5 linked regions of the Sus scrofa genome follow. The protein of the gene in region 2 interacts with the protein of the main gene of each other region in a pairwise test. Links are inferred from orthologs where the notes say so. Each region holds a gene or a part of one and is shown on either strand. Other genes may lie near its edges. The genes, in order: HRAS, PDE6D, RAP1A, RND1 and ARL15.

What was found.
Region 1: the proteins of PDE6D (region 2) and HRAS interact in a two-hybrid assay, tested with the Homo sapiens proteins (2 studies listed by BioGRID). The link is inferred for Sus scrofa from reciprocal best matches to the Homo sapiens genes PDE6D and HRAS.
Region 3: the proteins of PDE6D (region 2) and RAP1A interact in a two-hybrid assay, tested with the Homo sapiens proteins (2 studies listed by BioGRID). The link is inferred for Sus scrofa from reciprocal best matches to the Homo sapiens genes PDE6D and RAP1A.
Region 4: the proteins of PDE6D (region 2) and RND1 interact in a two-hybrid assay, tested with the Homo sapiens proteins (2 studies listed by BioGRID). The link is inferred for Sus scrofa from reciprocal best matches to the Homo sapiens genes PDE6D and RND1.
Region 5: the proteins of PDE6D (region 2) and ARL15 interact in binary tests that used the Homo sapiens proteins (3 or more experiments, as listed by UniProt). The link is inferred for Sus scrofa from reciprocal best matches to the Homo sapiens genes PDE6D and ARL15.

The regions. Positions count from the first base shown.
Region 1 is NC_010444.4:299,731-303,805, forward strand, and holds the start of HRAS (GTPase HRas), read right to left. Parts: upstream 2,810-4,075; 5' UTR 2,654-2,809; intron 1,508-2,653; 5' UTR 1,481-1,507; coding exon 1,370-1,480; intron 1,199-1,369; coding exon 1,020-1,198; intron 942-1,019; coding exon 782-941; intron 696-781; coding exon of another isoform or gene 633-695; exon of another isoform or gene 614-632; intron 356-613; coding exon 236-355; 3' UTR 1-235. UniProt on the Homo sapiens protein: Involved in the activation of Ras protein signal transduction. Ras proteins bind GDP/GTP and possess intrinsic GTPase activity.
Region 2 is NC_010457.5:132,423,869-132,428,048, forward strand, and holds the start of PDE6D (retinal rod rhodopsin-sensitive cGMP 3',5'-cyclic phosphodiesterase subunit delta), read right to left. Parts: upstream 2,811-4,180; 5' UTR 2,602-2,810; coding exon 2,552-2,601; intron 1-2,551. UniProt on the Homo sapiens protein: Promotes the release of prenylated target proteins from cellular membranes. Modulates the activity of prenylated or palmitoylated Ras family members by regulating their subcellular location.
Region 3 is NC_010446.5:108,688,448-108,691,962, forward strand, and holds part of RAP1A (ras-related protein Rap-1A), read right to left. Parts: intron 2,718-3,515; coding exon 2,649-2,717; intron 581-2,648; coding exon 524-580; intron 1-523. UniProt on the Homo sapiens protein: Counteracts the mitogenic function of Ras, at least partly because it can interact with Ras GAPs and RAF in a competitive manner. Together with ITGB1BP1, regulates KRIT1 localization to microtubules and membranes.
Region 4 is NC_010447.5:14,914,142-14,916,597, forward strand, and holds the end of RND1 (rho-related GTP-binding protein Rho6), read right to left. Parts: intron 1,618-2,456; coding exon 1,372-1,617; 3' UTR 511-1,371; downstream 1-510. UniProt on the Homo sapiens protein: Lacks intrinsic GTPase activity. Has a low affinity for GDP, and constitutively binds GTP. Controls rearrangements of the actin cytoskeleton. Induces the Rac-dependent neuritic process formation in part by disruption of the cortical actin filaments.
Region 5 is NC_010458.4:33,572,745-33,576,958, forward strand, and holds the start of ARL15 (ADP-ribosylation factor-like protein 15), read right to left. Parts: upstream 2,805-4,214; 5' UTR 2,790-2,804; coding exon 2,607-2,789; intron 1-2,606.

The sequences.
Region 1 (4,075 bases), on a different chromosome or scaffold from region 2:
GTGACAGCTGGGGTGCCAGTGGCGTCAGTCCACGACAGTCCGTGCAAAGCGTCCTGGGAGGCCTGCGGCCACTGTGGCCGCCGACCGGGGCTGGCCGGGCGCCGGCGGCACTTCCTTCCTTCCTCCTTCCTCCTTCCTCCGCGTGCGCCTCCTCCCCGCATCCGCCACCTCTGCGCCCCAGCGCCCAGCTGCATGGAGGCCCCGCAGAAGGTCCGCAGACGGGGCAGCGGCGGTGTCAGGAGAGCAGGCACTTGCAGCTCAGGCAGCCGGGGCCGCCCTCGTCGGGCGGGCTCAGCTTGCGCACCTTGTGCTGCCGGATCTCGCGCACCAGCGTGTAGAAGGCGTCCTCCACCCCCTGGGACGAGAGCGCGGGCTCAGGGCCGCCCCGCCGCGGCGCCGCCCCGCCCCTGGCCCACACTCGGGGAGCAGGGGCCCCAGGGCCACCGGTCAGGAGGCCTCTTCCTCAGCAGCTCCCCCACAGCCCACGAAGGGGTCAGGGCCGACAGGGGACTGCCCCCCCCGGGGGGGGCCCCCAGGGTCACCGCTCCGGCCTGGCTCAGGGCAGCTCTCTCCGGGGACCTCCACCTCCCCCCTTCCATCCGGGGACACTTACAGCAGGAGGGGCTGCTGGGTCACGGGGGTCCCGGAGGGTCCCAGAGGGTCCCGGAGCCGGAGCCAGAGCCAGAGCGGCTGCCCTGTGTCGAGGGAGAGGGGCGGTGAGCGCTGCTGCGGGCGGGGCGGGGCGGGGCCCTGGCCGGCTGGGGGCGGGGCTCCGGCTCACCTGTCGGGTCTTGGCTGAGGTCTCGATGTAAGGGATGCCATAGCTGCGAGCGAGGTCCTGGGCCTGCCGAGACTCCACGGTGCGCGCGGCCAGGTCACACTTGTTCCCCACCAGCACCATGGGCACGTCGTCCGAGTCCTTCACCCGCTTGATCTGCTCCCTGCAAGGGGAGGTGTGAGCCAGCGGGCAGGGTGCCGGCGTGCTCTGGGCCCCCAAGCGAGGCCCGCGGGCAGCTCACCTGTACTGGTGGATATCCTCGAAAGATTTGGTGTTGTTGATGGCGAACACGCAGAGGAAGCCCTCCCCGGTGCGCATGTACTGGTCCCGCATGGCACTGTACTCCTCCTGGCCCGCGGTGTCCAGGATGTCCAGCAGGCACGTCTCCCCGTCAATGACCACTTGCTTCCGGTAGGAGTCCTGAGGGGGGGACACCACTTAGGGACCTCTGGCCCGCCCGGGATGGGCTGTTCACACCACCAGCCCCTCCCGCGCTCCTCTCGTGCCCGCCCAGGACCTGTGACGAGGGGAACCCGTCCTGCAGAGCGGGCAGAAGACAAGCCCACATCGGGATGCGGGCTGGAGGCTCACCTCTATGGTGGGGTCGTACTCATCCACAAAGTGGTTCTGGATAAGCTGGATGGTCAGGGCACTCTTCCCCACACCTCCAGCGCCCACCACCACCAGCTTATACTCCGTCATCGCTCCTCAGGAGGCCACAGCACAGGACTGCAGTGGAGGAAGCAGCATTCAGCGTGGCCAGACCATGCAAGACAGGCCCGCTGAGCTCCCAGGGCCCGTACATCCAGGTAACAGGGGTCGCAGCCACAACCGCGGCCCCGCGGCGCACCTGTGGCACCTCCAGCTGCACTTAATGACTGCGGGAGAGAAGCAGGGAGCCGGCCCCAGAGGCAGGGCTGACAGGAGGGAGCATCTCCCAGGCACGCACCCGAATTAGAAGGTGCTGGATAGGCAAAAAGCCTGAACTGGAGGCACCGCGGGCTGAGGTTACAAGCGCCCCCCATGAGAACAGGTCTTGCCACAGTGGCGGGCCAGGCAGCATGCCCAGACAGGCCTGTGGCAGCCAACAACCAGCTCCAGGCCCCTCCGGGCATGCTGGTGCATTTGACAAGTATTCACTGAGTGCCTACTGCATGCCAGGTGCTGTTCCAGGCACAGGGTGACAGGCAGTCGGGAGGAACCCCTACCGACAAGCTCAGGCCACGCTCCAAGCCAGACTCACATAAGTGAAAATAAAGGGAAACCTGCGGCGCCCTCTCGGCATAAGAACTTTGGGGAACATAAACCAAGGCAGGTGAAGAGGCCGGCAGGGGCCAGGGCTCCAGGAAGCAGGAGCTGATCAACAGGAAAAGACCTTGTGTGGCACAAGGGAACAAGCGAGAAGGGAAAAAAAGGGCCTGGGGCCAAGGCCCCCCAGCCCCAGCTGGAGATGTTTAGACAGGGTAGGTACCCTGCGGGGACAGAGGGCAGTGACTTCCTAAACTCTAGGTTTGCCTGGTGTGTGTGATGGCCGCCGGGTGCCCGAGTTCTTCGCAGGGATCCTTGGAACGCTGCAGGGGGAGAGACTTTGCCCAGGGCCATGGTCATGGGCGGGCCTCGGCTCGGGGAGCAGTCAGAGAACAGACTGAGAGCGCTTGCGGGGCCCCAGAAGACAGGGCCCGGGACCTGGAGTCGGAGGGGCTGGCCTGGGCGAGGCAGGGCGTACCAGCCGCCGCCTGCAGCCCCAGCCGCAGCGCCCCGCCCGCCGCCGCCCGCGGCTCACCTGCGCCCCCGCGCGCCCGCGCGCCCAGCGAGAACCGCGGGCCCCCGTCCGGCCCGGCCCCCGCCGCCCCCCGTGGTCCCCGCCGCACTCACCGCTCACTGGCGCGACTGCCCCCGGGGCCGGGGCCGGGGCCGGGGCGGGGGCGGCGGCGGGGGCCGGGGCCAGGGCGCGCGGCTCGCCCAGTGCATGGGCTCCGTCCGCGGCGGGTGCGGCTCCGGCAGCTGGCTGCGGACTCTCGACCGGGCCCGCGCACGCCCCGCCTCGCCCCCGTCCGTCAACCAGGCGCGGCCCGCCATTGGCTGCGCCTGCCGGGCCCCGCCCTAGAGCCTCTTCGCCCCGCCCCGATTGGCCGGGAGGCCCGCCTGTCAGATGCCTCGGGCCGGGCGGGGCTTCCGGGAGCGGCGCGGAGGGCGGTGTCGGCCCTGGTGGCCCGCGTGGGCCGCGGCCTGTGGGTCTTGGTGGGCCGGCTGTGGGGTCCGGGGGAGGAAGCTGCTCCGTGGACGGCCTGGACTCTCCCAGGAATAAGCAGGGCCCTCAGGGAGACAGAGATCCCGCGGAGAAGCGGGTCGAGGCCCGTTGCGGACTGGGGCAGGGTCCTCAGGGCCCAACTCGAGCCCCGCACCGGGCCCCTCGGCCCTCGAAGTTGCTCACGGGTGCGCCCACGCGCCCCAGGCTCTCCCTGCGCTGCGCAGCCCACCGCAGGGGGTCGGGGAGCGGAGGGGACAGCCCGGGGGCCGAGCCTCAGGGAAGATGGAGCCCGCGAGGTCAGCACCGAAGACACGCGGGGAGCCGGGGCCGTAGAAAATCGGAGCGGCTGCGGGGAGGAGGGGCAGGGGCAGGTGGCTCCTGGAGGCGCTCCTACCGCTCCCGGGACGCCTGGCAGCTTCGGCGGGGTCGTTGGTCTCAGCTCAAATCTTACGTCTAGGGCCTGACGGGGGCGTCTGAGCCCACGGAGCATTGAATCTGGCCAAGTGTTTTTACCGGGGGTTGGGGGGGGCTACTCACGTAGCGACTGGCGCTCGGAGAAGGGCCCCTCTTCCCCATCCCTCATCACCAGCTTCCCCCAATTTGGGCAGACCTTGCAGACTCCCTGTCCAAGCAGCTTCCCCCAAACCCGGAGGTCCCAGCGCTGCAGAAGCTCACCCTGAGGCCCAGTTAGCAAAAGGTACCCAGCAAATCCAACCCAGAAGGGGGTGAGGTGAAGTCTCCTTCATCCGAGGCGCAAACATGCCCACCGGCCCTCCTTTAGAGGCTCTCAGAAACACATGTTTTCAGCATTTTAGAAATTTTCAAAGTAACGAATAAACGCATCCTGCTTGTTTACCAGAAAAAACGGTGCATTACACGTATGGCCAAACCTCCCTCGGCTCAGCCGGCACCCCCTTCCATCCCTACTCCTCCCGCGCCGGCTCCGCGCTGCTCCCCAGGAGCTCACCCCGCTGAGGCCTCGACCATGGCAGGCCCCCGGGGGTCCGCCCCTGGCCCCACGACCGCGCCCACCCCACCCCGGCTGT
Region 2 (4,180 bases):
AAGGGATACACACCAAGTGTGCAGGGCTGGAATTCAATTCAGACAGAATAGCTCTATAGACCAGTACAGCCCTTAATCACTAGCCTATATTACCTCTTGAGGGATCTAGGTATCAGGGAAATACAAATTAAAACAAGCTATCATCTATTGATCAAATCAGTAAAAATAAAAAAGAACAACATAGTCAATGTGGAAAACAAGCACTGTCAACATTGTTGGTAGAAGAATATAATGGAGATTTGGAGATTTTTTATAGTAAAAACTCTTCCTACAGAAAAAAAGATACTTTGAAAGAAAGTTCAGAAAGACAATTTATCCAAGAAAAGATGGACAACAGTCAGGTAGTTTCCTACTAAAACACTAATTTTATTTTTTCCTGAAGGTAGTAACAAATTCTAGAACTCCTTTCCATTTCACTCTTAATTCAGATACCAGTGAAGGCAAAGGGAGGATGAGCATCCATTGCTCCCATGCTAACATTTTTCATTGGCTGCTTCCCTTGCGATTTAATCAGCCCATGTCAAAAAATTTCCCAGAAAACACTGAAGTCATTACTTAATTGGTTAATTCATCTTCCTTTCTAGCGGATGATACAGGTTCTGCTTTCTATGTTTTTCCATATTTGTCCCTTAGCCCTTTTCTTTTCTTATATTTTCTTTTCTTTCTTCCTTCCTTTATCTTTCTTTCTCTCTCTCTCTCTCTGCCCAAGCCCATGGCCTGTGGAAGTTCCAGGGCCAGTGATCAAACCCGCACCAAGTTCTGACCTGAACCACAGCAGTGAAAATAACAGATCCTTAACCTGCTAGGCCACCAGAGAACTCCTCTCTTAGCCTCTTTCTTTCTGAACAAGGTTTCGGAGCAAAGACTGAAAGTGAGAAGCTCAAACTTTCTCTTTTGCTTTGCTTTGTTCAAAAGCCATTAAAAAGACTCTTTTTTACTTTGAGTAAAATGTTAACTCCAATCAGACAAAAATATTGCTTCTGAAATCTCTCAATTCTCCATAGTCTCTAGTTTACTGTCTATAGCATAAATGTTACATAACAAAATACATTACTTAAGGGAAAAATAAAGTCCATGTCATAGCTTTTCTAACACTTCAGCCACCCCTATCTACTTATAGGCGCTACTGTGAAGAGGAACACGGAAAGGTATATGGACCTATAAGAGGCTGTTACTAAACTTCACTGTATAAAACTGCTGGAAGTTTATCATGAACGGCAGTATGCAAAGGTGATAACGCCTATGGCAAATCAGCTTCTATTTGAAAAATTTCATTTATACATCCGAAACTTCCTGTAACTTTTTTGCTGTTGTGTTTTAAAATTTATACTTGGTTTCTGATTATGACAAAGCAATTAAAACTTGCAGGGGTGACATGGGCATTGTGAAAACACAGAGTCAGCTCAGAGAACAGGGATTGACTAAACCTCCAGGGGAGGTGCCCTAAATGGTAACTACATCTTCACTGAGAGAAGAATTTAAGCATGTTCCATATGGTAGGTATAGGAAGAGATTAAGGTCAGTAGGAAAATGTAAAATTGGAATGGACAAGATTGCATTTTTTTTTCATCTGCATCATATGGTCACAGATTAACACTCCATTAAAACACCAAGCCTCACGACAGTGAGAAGGTTGCACCCGCTGCACCGTAACAGGCCTGAGGCAATGATTTCTATATCCTACTAAATCCTACGGTGTCCCCAACGTAATCAAATAATTGCTGGACAGCTCCACCAGCTCTACGCGTTAACCACACAAACTGGACGGAGCAGAAGCCTTTGCCAGGAGTCCCAGTGCAAAACCACAATACCTCGAGGCATCGCACCGCATCTCACACACACAAATTTAGGGCCCTTATTTCGCTGGAAAATAAAACTGAGGAGCTAAGGGAGAAGCAGCGACCGCCCAATGCCTCCAAGGGCCGAGACAGAGTTAAGATGAGGTCCATCTCAGACTTCTCCCGCCGCACCTGCCTCTCCAGCCCTGGAAGGAGCCACAAGTGAGGAAGAGAAGTTGTGGAAACAAGCCGCGGGGGGTGGGGTGGGGTGGGATGGGATGGGAGAACCCGAGACAGTTCGATACCCGCTTCTGCATTTGTCCCACACAAGGTCACTCGCTCCAAGTCACTTTTCCCTGCTGCCCGGGTGGGCTTCCCGCCAAAGAGGCAGCTGGGCTTCGAGGCCAGCCCACCGCGCCCCCTCGGCCCTTGCCTGCGGGCCGCAGCTCCTTCCCGGCCTCTCTTCTCGGACCCAAGCGCGCCTTCCCGACACCCGTTTCCGACGCCCTGCGCCTCTCTAAGCTCAATTCCGGGGCTCCTCGCCTCTAACCCCGGGGCTCCCGTCAACGTCCCCTCCCTCCCTCCCTCCGGACGTCCCTCTCCGCGCCTTCTGCGCCCCGTCCCGCCGGGGACCCGGGACGCCTTTCCTTCCCTCCCTTCCCACCGCCCCCTCCCGGGTGCCCACCTGGTGCGGCCCCCGCCCCCGGCCGGTCTCCTCAGCGAGCGGCCGCCTCCCAAGTCCTCCCGGCCCCGCCCCGCTCCCGGGTGGATACAGTTTGAAGCCCCTCAGGATCTCCTTGGCCCGCTCGTCCTTGGCTGACATGATGCGGCGGCCGCCGCCTGCGGCTCTCCCTCGCTGGCCCGGCGGAGCCTCGCAGATGGTGCCCAGGAGCCGAGGACCGAGCCGGCCTGGACACCTCGGGCGAGCAGCGGCTGCGACCAGACCCGGACCCGCCTCTCCCTCCCCTCAGCTCCCACTCCTGATCCCTTCTCCTTCCCCCTGGCCGCGGAGCGCCCGCCCGGAAGCCAATGGAAAGCCCGTCTTGGCGATTGGCATCTTGATCAACCAATAGAAACACTCAGCGGCTTCGCAGGGGGACGAAGAGCGTCAATGGGAAGGGCCCATCCCGGGAAGTCCCGTAGGACAGATTTTTTCATTCGGTGTGGTTGCCTAGAGTTTGCCTCAGAGGAGGGTTGGCTTCAGATCGGCAGAGGCTCCAGGGGCTTGCTCCTGCGGCTGGGGACAGTAGGGCTCTGAGATGACGGCAGGCTGCCCTGTGCGATGTGGCGGAGACTACACTTCCCAGCATTCTAGGGGGTTGTCCGAGGGACCACATATCCCAGCACGCAACAAAAAGCCCAGGGACTGCAAATCCCAGCATTCCCTGCACCCTAGTCCTCTGTAACTTAGATTCCAGTGTGCCGCGCAGTGTGCGCAAATTCATACATCTGCCTGTAGGCTTGGTGGTTTCTGAATCCCGAGACTTGAAACTCTTTGGGAAGATCCTCTTCAACCTCAAAAGAAGATGACAGCCCACAGAGAGACAACTTGTATTTACATGGAACTCAGAAATCTCCTGCAAATCATGGTAAGCCTGAAACAACAAACCCCAAAACACTGATTAAACCATGAAAGCTAATATAACAAAATGACTCGTTGAAATCAGGCTTGCTCGTTGGCCTGGGGCGCCTTTTACGTGTTTTGTAGAGGTCTCTGCTGTGCTCCTGCGTTGGACTGGAAGAGATATGGATTGTGAACTCAGAATATCAATACAGTTAGGCTTAGGAGAATTTGCTAATCCAGCCCCTGTTTTACATATGAAGAAACCGAGGCCCAAAGAGGCAAAAAGATTGTTCACAGGTTACAGCAAGTTGGGGCAGAGTTAGGATTGGGCTCTTAAGTCTACTGTAGTCTGGGCTCTTTGCTCTACACTAGGGTGGTGATATTTTTAGCAGCATGGCTATGCTATCTTAATATTCTCCTTGGTGAAGTTTTCCCACTCAGGTTGAAACACCCAGAGGTTAGTGGGAATAAAAAATGTTGCCTGCCATTTCAGTAAACAATGAATGTTACCCACTATCAAGCCACTGGCCACTGAAGCCACCCCGGAAGATGGGCTCAGAGGTGAATTCAGGATACATGGAGGAAAACAGGATACTTGCCCTACATAGTTAAGATGCATATCTAAGGAATAATTTCAATGAGCCCAGACTCTTGCTTCTTCCCATTCATAGAAAAGCATTAATCATTAATCCGAGATGTCTAGTTTTTGTGATTGGCAGTGCTCTTTTGTGTTCGACTAAATGTTCATTTTTTTTTCGGGAAAAAACTGTGTATCCTGGCTCCTCCCATATCTCTTTGGAGCAGTTCCTCAAAGCTATCTGAGGGGCTGTCTCCCAGG
Region 3 (3,515 bases), on a different chromosome or scaffold from region 2:
GCCAAGTGATTTATAATCACTATTGCATTTGATCACTACAAGCACCCTATAATGTACTAACGTCATTATACTCATTTAAGGATGTGAAAAATTAGGCTCAAAATAATCCTAAAGACTTTTGGTCAGAAATACATATCTGTCACCAGAGATGTTAAAATGCTAATAAACCTTGAGATGTTAAAAGTGCTACTAAACCAATTTTTAAAAAAATGAATGACCGTGATCTGAATTTAAAATGCCTTTTTTTTTCTTTTCTTAGAAAGCAGTAATAGCACAATTTTTACCTCAATACAGGGAAAAGAAATTCAACACACAGATTCTGCAGATGAGCTCAACATCTAACACTGATATGTGAGCATTAAGTACATCATAGATAGTGCCACCCACATAAGAAAATTTAAGAAGTCCTACACAGAGACCAAGTTCTTAATCAGAATAAATGCTTTTACTCAGAGGAACCGTTCAGGCGACAAAAACCTATTCACAAATTAAAATCGATCACAAAAAGAGAAAACATGCTTACCGTTCCCGCTGTATCCAGGATTTCGAGCATACACTGTTGGCAGTCTACTTCAACTTGCTGTTGGGGTAGGGTGCGGGGGTGGAGGGGGATGAAAAAGTAACATCAAAATGTCAGTCTGTTTTCCTCCCACTTCTTTGCTCAAAGTACCTATTAACAACTACAAAGCCTTTCTCTAGCAGTTTCCTGTATCGGTGGAGATCTAACTTGGTGCTACAATAAAGAACAGGAGGTCTCAAACACATTCTATTAATACTACAAAGCCAGGACTGCTGATGCTGAGTTTAGGCATTTTCTGACCACTATGAACACTGAGTACTGATTTGTGTTGTTATTAAAAGGCAACGGTCATACCCTGTAATTTAAGAAAAACTATAACCAACAGGTATAATTCTAACAGGGGAAAAATGGATAAAGTATGTATATTTATATTCTCTTCAAAACAAAGCACACAAGTACTAAATAGTTCAAAATATAGCCAAGACTGGGAGGGTAAAGAAAACTTTGCCAACTTACCACATTCAAGCTGTTAGAGTTTTACTAAACAATGCCCCAAATTTAACACACAGGAGCATTAATTTAAGAGTTAAAAGGGAACACAGAATAACACTGAACTCCTACAGCTCTCAAGACTTCTACGTCTTTGGAAAAACTGTGTGCATAAGGCAAACTTTTAGATACTGGGTTCTACTTTCCCAGTGTTGCACAGAAGAGAAGGTTGGCCTAAAGCAAGTATCAACTATTAACCGTGTGGACATTTTTTAATAAAGAAGGGATTTAGAAAAGTGTAAAATCTTTGACATTCAAGGTACAGATCTTTGTTTGCAGTTAATGCTTTAACCAGCAACTGATTTGGGGGAAATTTCAGTAATGCAACACTGTCTTCTAAAAATAGACATACTGACCTAAGGACTATTTTAAACTCTGCTTCTGTGTCACATCAGGGATTGATGAGGAGCACGATGGGTAGAGTCCCAAACTCCACTGTTCCATTGTTTACGGGACTAAAGTGATAATAATCTGCCCTCTCTGTGAATGCGTATGTTCAACGAATAATGAATTCACTCTGTGGTTTCTCAATGTACCACCATTTGGTTTCCAATTTACAGATAATGAAACTGCTATTCCGGTAGGCTTGAAGAATTTAATTCAACAGAAATTATAGCACTATTTAAGGTAAATTTTAACATCCAACAAAGCAATTCTTTCTCATTTGTTGGAAGGGAGGTTTAATCTTTTTTTTTTTTTTTTTCTTTAATGTATCGTTGGCTACTAGGCTTTCTTACAACACTGTCTCCCTCCCTACCGCTGCCCCCACCATACTTGGGAAATAAAGACTTGAAAATTCTCCACAATTCCAGCTAGTTTTCTAATTAAATAGAACAGTATTTTTTTGTCAAGACCAACTACTTAAATTTCTTTTCCTTTTAAACAAACTTTACTTTTTAGAAAGCAGTTTTAGGTTCACAGCAAAACAGCAGAAAAAGTAGAGTTCCCACATACCATTTTCCTGTTCCCCGCTAGCCTCCCCCACCATCGGCATCCTGCACCAAAGTGGTACATTTGTGAAAATCAGTGAACCTGCATTTGCACCATTATCATGCAAAGTCCATAGTCTGCAGTTTTACTCTTGATGTTGTACATGCTACAGGTTAAGACAAATGTATGAGGCCATGTATCTACACTAAATTATTACACAGACTCCAACTGTCTAATTTTTTATAGTCTAAAGGTGAAATATCTTTAAAGTTATTATATAATTAAACAAAAATAACTTTCAGTCACTGGATAACCTCAAGTATAAAGTGATCTTAATTTTAGTTCACACAAAGAGTCATCAAAAATATACCTACTATTTATATGCAATTTTTCTATATTAAAAAAAAAGGCCACCAAGAAAATGGGTATATTAAAGGACTGATTACATTAATCAGCGAGAGAATGTGGAGCTCTCTTTAGCTAAGCAATATTCTACGAAAAATACCACGTCTTGGTGAAACTTTTAAAAACAGATACAGAACATTGGGTCATTTCTCAGAACTATTTTTAAAAAAGCAATTCCAGGGATCAAGTTTTAAAGTCATAAGAAACTACTTGTAAGCATGAGCATACACGTTTCACATTTTACCTTTCTGTAGGAATCTTCTATCGTTGGGTCATATTTTTCCACAAAAATTCCCTGAACAAATTGAACGGTCTAAAAAAAAAAAAAGCAGACAAAAGTTAAGGACTTAAAAGAAAAATCAGCCCCTCTTAAATGTTACTTAACCTTGCAAAATCGCAACGATTAAATGAAATTATGTGAAAACTCTGGTAAAAATGCAAATTGTAAAGTATCATTATTTTTCAATATAAGGATACATTCATAATTAAGAGTATACTTAGGAAAGGAAGTGGTTGTGTTAAAAACTGTCAGCAATGCTGCTGCTGACATTACACTGTTAAAATAATTACTACATTAAGTTTCAAAGTACAATGAAGATACAAATAAGATACATATAAGGATATGGATTCTAATTTATTAAAATGTGAAAATTTATCAGTATTTAAAGTCTTATTACTCCTTTATGAATCTGTAGCAATTTTTATCTTATGCCCTCAAAGGAGAGACTGTAAATTTTAAACAGTCTTCAAACAGCCTTTCTAATTGTGGGGGAAAATCAAGTTTTTCTGATTTGCCAGCTGAAATTCAAAAGTATCCCTTCCTGATTTCAAACCCTTGTTCTTTTCATTGGAAGACACTATACACCCATCTTTTTCAGATCATCTACTTTTATCTCTTAAATTTCTATAAGACTAGATATTTTGTCATTCCGTAAATGAAAAGAAGGACAGAAGGTAGTTGCGAGATATTTCCTGAACAGCTGGCACATCACTGCCTAAAAGCAAGGGTAAAAATGTGGCCTGAGGTCATCCACACTACAATTAGCCAGAGGAATATAAATGCACTATTTTAGCTTGAGCTAAATAGATTAACCTGAAGATAGCAAGCTTT
Region 4 (2,456 bases), on a different chromosome or scaffold from region 2:
CATTTTTGGTTTTGACAACTCAGGGGTGCTACTCATACCCAGCACGCAGAGGCCAGGAAGGCTAAGCATCCTCGAGTGCACAAGACAACCTCACAACAAAGCATTATCTAATCCAAGATGTCATTTGGTCTGAGGTTGGGAAATCCTGCTCTAGTGCTAAAGAGATCTCATTTGCCTCGGCAGGACTGGGGCGGGGAAGGAGATGAGGTGGGAGGTGGGGGTCGGGGCGATGCGGGGGGAGGGGATCCTTGTTAGAGGTGCCAGGGAACGGGGCTGGCAGCCACTGTGCAACCCACAGAAAGGACCTCAGGACAGCTTTTCCTCATTATCAAAGACCAAAGGAGGAGGTTCCGTTGTGGCGCAGCAGGTTAAGGCTCCAGCGCTGCTGCAGCCGTGGTGCGGGCTGCAACTGCAGTTTGCTCAGCCTGGGAGTTTCCACCTGCCAAGGGTGTGGCCAAAACAAAACAAAACACCCAAAGGAAACAAAGAAACTAAGAACACTGGAGCCAGCTTCTTTATATGTGTTATATTTTTCATTAATAAATAGGTTTTCTTCTTTAAACACAGAACATATAACAGATTGAAACACTCCCCCCTCCCCCCAATTCCAAAGACGAGAGTCTATAAAACAAATGCCAGCTATACTGCCCCAAGGGCAGAGAAAGTCTGGTGACCCCCACCCAGCCCTGCCCCCTGCAGCACCACCACCCCCACACTGCAAGAGAAGGGGGTCTGGGGCTTCTCCCTTGGACCCTGGGGACTTAGGTGAGAAGCATGAGAATGCATGATGTCACCTCTCCAGGAGGCATGGGCTACGCAAAGATGAGGTTTCCTTCGCATTGGCTCTGACCAGCTCCTGCCCTTCTGATTTCAGTTATGAAGCACCCGGGCTCGGCTCCCAGAGGAGCTGCCTCTTGGCTTCCCCCCGCTCTCCACTCATCCGCAGCCTCCTTGGAGGGGAAGGGAAGGGCTCAGGCACCCCTCCCATCCCCTGGCCCGCATGGAAACGCTGTGTGGAAGAGGCATGATGCTGAAGGTGAGGCTCCCGGAGGCCCCCAACCGAAGCCATGAGGCCAGCATGCCCCCCAGGCCCCCACACCTGTCCTTCCTCTGGAGCGGAGGGCACGGGGACAGCCGCCCCCTCTACCACCTAGTGCCTGGCTTGGGGTGTGATGGTTCTTTCTCAGTGTCAGGTCCTCAAGCCGGGCCTGGCTCTTTCCTTGTCCCGTTCCTGTCTCCTTCCAAGCCCTCACCGTGGCCGTCTGAAAAACTCGTGTCCAGTGTCCTAAAATGTCTCCTCCTCCCTCTCCCCGTGCCTCTGCAACCCCAGGGAGGAAGTGGGAGGTTGGCTCCCCTCTCGAACCCCCAACTTCACATAATGGAACAGCTTTTGGCCTTTTCCTTCTTGAAGGTGGAAGAGATGAGTTCGGAACGACTGGGGAGGTGGAGCAGCCGCTTGGAGAGGCTTCGGACAGGGCTCTTCGGGGGCACGGGGCTGGGCTTGTTCAGACACACCATGGACGCCGTCCGGAAGATGCTATGGATGCTCTTCTCGGAGGTGAAAGCCGAGCCTTCCAAGTAGATTTCCGCACCCAGCTGTTTGGCTATTGCACAGCCCTGGAGGGGAAGTGAGGTCATCAGGGCAGGGATCCAAGACGGCTCTGAAACACCACCTTCTGCCTTCCGAGGTTAGCGGTCCTCCCCGCAGCTATGCTGATGGGCCCAACTGCCAGTCTCCCACCACCCCCCTCTGCTGATTATTTTCCTTTTTTCTTTTTAAAATTCTGTCTTATTTTTTGGCCACAGCACCCACAGCATATGAAGTTCCCAGGACAGGGATTAAACTCGAGCCACATCAGCAACCTGAACCTCAGCAGTGACCCAAGCCACAGCAGTAACAACGCTGGATCCTTAACCCACTGAGCCACCAGGGAACTCCTCTGCTGATTATTTTCTGAAAGTGATAGAGTCATTGGGAATACTTTTAAAACCACACTGTTGCCAAACCAAATAAATTGGAATTTCTGTGGGTAGGTCTAGACAATAGTATTTTTAAGAGCTCTCCAGGCAACTGTAATGTGAACATTGTTTTAAAACAAATGATCCTGGAGTTCCCATCGTGGCGCAGTGGAAACAAATCTGACTAGGGACCATGAGGTTGCGGGTTCAATCCTTGACCTTGCTTAGTGGGTCAAGGATCCGGCATGGCCATGAGCTGTGATGTAGGTCACAGAGACGGCTCAGATCTGGTGTTGCTGTGGCTGTGGTGTAGGCAAGCAACTACAGCTCCGATTAGACAACTAGCCTGGGAACCTCCATATGCTGTGGGTGCAGCCCTAAAAAGACAAAAATAAAAAAAATTTTTTTAAATAATAATAATAAAACAAATGATCCTTACACTCCCATGTGCATAAGGAATTATCCAGGGATTTAATTTATTTGGGGTTTTTGTTTGT
Region 5 (4,214 bases), on a different chromosome or scaffold from region 2:
ATCATCAACTATAACATATGCTCATTGTGGAGTTCCCGTTGTGGCACAGCAGAAACAAATCCAACTACGAACTATGAGGTTGCTGCAGGTTCGATCCCTGGCCTCCTCAGTGGGTTAAGGATCTGACATTGCCTTGAGCTGTGGTGTAGGTCGAAGACACGGCTCAGATCCTGTGTTGCTGTGGTGTAGGCCGGTGGCCGTAGCTCCGACTGGACCCCTAGCCTGGGAACCTCCATATGCTACAGGTGCAGCCCTGAAAACAAACAAACAGAAAACCACACACACACACAACCACCTTATTTCTTGATAGTTATTTCAACATGTGAAAAAATGCTTTTTGAAAAATAAAGATGCTTTCAAGACTGAGATCAGCCACTTAAACTCATATTAAAAGATCAATTCTGACTGGAAATTAACCAAACCTTAAAAACCAATTGCCATTGGATTAGAAGTCTGTTTTCAAGAAACAGATTGTAATATGTCCTTAGTATACCCTAATCAAGAACATATTAAAACATAGTTCAAGATAATGAAATGTAATATATTAATTCCCTAGGAACTTTAATAATGTTAAAAAGACCTAGTCATTTTTTATTACTCAAATGACTTTATCACATTTGTAATTATATAATGATAATAATCCAATTTTACAGGATTTCCTTCCCATAACCCAAGAAGACCTAGTCATTTCTTTTAAAAATTACAACTTAAAAACCTTCTGTAAACAAACTGACATGCCTGCCTTCATAACACCTATGACCCCAAAAGCCAAATCATATCTTTTACAGTCTCAAAGTTGACAATTCAGATCATTCTTGTAAATGATAGACACTTTTTTACTGTTTAAATTGTTTTTATTGTTTTATTTTTCTGAACATCTTCTCTTCCTCAAAGACTTTATAGATACTGTGTTTCATGTTGGTACAAGTTGGGCCTTCAGGGAAGCAAACACTGACAAAGAATTAGAAATACAGAAGGTTTATTAACATACAGCACCTGTGAAAGAAAATAGCTGTGGGATTAAGATGGGGGTAGCAAGTAACCACAGAACATTATACACACCTAACAAAGCCTCTACTGGGAACTCCCAAGCAAAAATTGCCCAATAGAGACGACCAAGCTGGGCAGAAACAGCTAGACCTTTGTACCAGCAACTTGTTTCGTCATTGGTTGAGGGGGCAACTTCAAGAAGGAAGAATCCCAAGAAAAGTACCAACCCCAAGGTTGAAGCAGAGCCTGAAAGAGCTGACAGCTGCAAACTATCAGCTCATTACACGCCAGGCAACTGCATGAGTCCTTTCTTGAATTTTGCTTCTCCTTGTCAGCTGCTTGTGGTATGTGAACTTCTTTCGGTAGCCTAGCTTGGTACCTTACATATAGCCCTTACACCATTCAAGACTGGTGGGTTGCTAAGCATGTGGACTTTGCCATTTACTACAACCAACCCTGTTGTGTCATTGTGTCACTGCTTGAACATACTTAGTACCTTCTGAGATGGGCAGCTCTGAGAGTGAAGAGAAAAGTTAACAAATCCACCTGACCCCACAATCAACATCCTGAAATCTCACAGCAAAAGTCAGATGAAATAAAGTTCCCAGTACCACATATTAATAAGATAAAGAATTTCCTTCCCTATTTACAGAGTAACTCTTCACCCCTTTGACTGCTGTAGAAGTATTAAGACAACTCCCTCACCTCCATTTGGCAGTAAAAGAATGAGATCCACAAAGATAGAATTAGAGACATGAGCTTATGAGAGATGAACCATTTTGTAAGATAGTGGCTACAGAGGTGGCAGTTAACAAGACAGAACAGAGAAAAGGTTGACTCCTCAATTCTTGAGTGGAGAAAGCCAGAGAGAAGCAAGCCGATTCCCGCTACAGGGCTCCCAGCAGCTCAGGGAAAAGAAGCACCTGAGGCTGAAAATACCAAACTGGCGTGAGTCTTATTTTTTGCTGTTGTTGTTTTTAATTTTTATTTTTGGCCACTCTTGTGGCATTTTGAACCCACACTGCAGCAGCGTCTCAAGCCACAGCAGTAACACCACCATATCCTTAATCCACTGTGCCACAAGAGAACTCCAGCTGTGAGTCTTAAAGACTCACTTGAGCCCATTGATCTGCCCCACTCTGCAAAGCCAGGTCACCATCCCACCAGTGCCCTGAACAAAGACCAGCATGAAAGTTTCCTTCTGAGATTAAACTGGAAAGGGTTTGACCTCACAGATACCAGGTAGAACCTAAAAGCAAAGAGTAAATTCAGTAGGAGTAGAAGAAAGCTAAGGAAATCACCAAAAAGGTAAATGAAAAGCAGTTGGGTAAAGGAAATTAGCATATCAACCTGGAGACATAAAACCCACTTAGATGTTTCAAAACAAAGAAAGAAAAACAGTAATGCTGGTGGGAAGAAATTATCAAGTAATTCTAGCAAAGCTTCTATAACCCAATTTTCAGACCCAAAACACCACAAATGTGCACAACTTTAAGTGAAAAAGACACATTACCATTAAAGAAATAGCAATTTTAAAACCTTCCTACAGAAGCGCCACGCCACAGTGTACAATCAAGTTCTAATAAACAATCCAGAACAAAAAGTTCCAATCTTACAGCTATTCCAGAGTTGGTCTCTTCTGAGGCCTCTCTCCCCAGCCGGCAGACACACGCCTTCTCCGAGTCCTCACCTCCACCGATGCGTACCCCCCTAACGTGGGCTGCTCTTTGCGGCCTAAAGCTCCTCCCCTTATAAAGGCTCCAGTCAAATTGGCTTAGGGTCCACCATGACCTCCTCATTTTTACTTAATTACCTCCTCAACAGCCCTATCTGCCTACCCAATCACTATCTGAGGTACGGGGGTTAGCACTTGAACCTGTGTATTTGGGGGTGGGAGTAGGCAATTCAGCCCTTAACAACATTCCAGGTTGGCAATATATTCAGATTGTGAGGGATAGTTACAAAAACCTTACACAAGTGTATTCAATGATACAACATTTAAAAGCCTTTGCTTTAAAGTCAGGAAAAAGATAAGGGTGCCAATTATCACTGCTTCTGTGCTGTTATAGCAAAGGCCCTGGACAGCATTATCAGACAAAAATATAAACAATAAAAATGGAAAGAAGCAAACAGCTCATCTGCAGATTGTGGTCGTGTGTGTAAAACACAAATCTACATATCAGTTATTAAAATGAAAAAATCGTGTTACTCCTTAAAAATCAATATAAAATTGGGTTTCTAGTTACTTAGCAACAAAGTTAGGAGATGTATTTTATTTTTTTAATTTTTTTATTTTTGGAAAGAACACTTTTATTTATTTATTTATTTATTTTTCATTTTTTTATCTTTAATTTTTTTAACAATGATCATCACAATCCAGTTTCACAGGATTTCCATCCCACAACCCAACCACATCCCTAAACCCCCCAAACTGTCTCCTCTGGAGACCATAAGTTTTTCAAAATCTGTGAGTCAGCATCTGTTCTATAAAGAAGTTCAGTCTGTCCTTTTTTCAGATTTCACATGTCAGTGAAAACATTTGATGTTGGTGTCTCATGGTATGGCTCACCTCACTTAGCATGATAATTTCTAGGTCCATCCATGTTGCTAAAAAATGCCAGTATCTCGTTCCTTTTAATGGCTGAGTAATATTCCATTGTGTATATGTGCCACATCTTCTTGATCCACTCCTCTGTCGATGGACATTTAGGTTGTTCCCATGTCTTGGCTATTGAAAAGAGTGCTGCAATGAACACTGGAGTATGTGTGTCTTTTCGAGTCATGGTTTTCTCTGCATAGATGCCCAGGAGTGGGATTGCTGGATCAAATGGTAGTTCTACGTTTAGTTTTCTGAGGAATCTCCACACTGTTTTCCACAGTGGTTGCACCAATTTACAATCCCACCAACAGTGCAATAGGGTTCCTTTTTCTCCAGGAGATGTATTTTAAAATAACCTTTAAAGTAGAAATTCTAAAGGCACCTAAACATAATCCTTACGACCATAGGATTGTGAGAGAAATCTAAAACTTGAATACATGTGATGTTCATGGATGGAAAGACTGTTTTAGAGGTGTAATTCTCAAGTTGATGTATCAATTCAACATGATAACATTCAAAATCACAGAGGGTATTATGTCGAAACACTTCTTAACTACCCTTAATTTGAAGATAGTGCCCTCCTCTCTGTGGCTGAAGCACTTATGCATATTTATATGCTGGTATT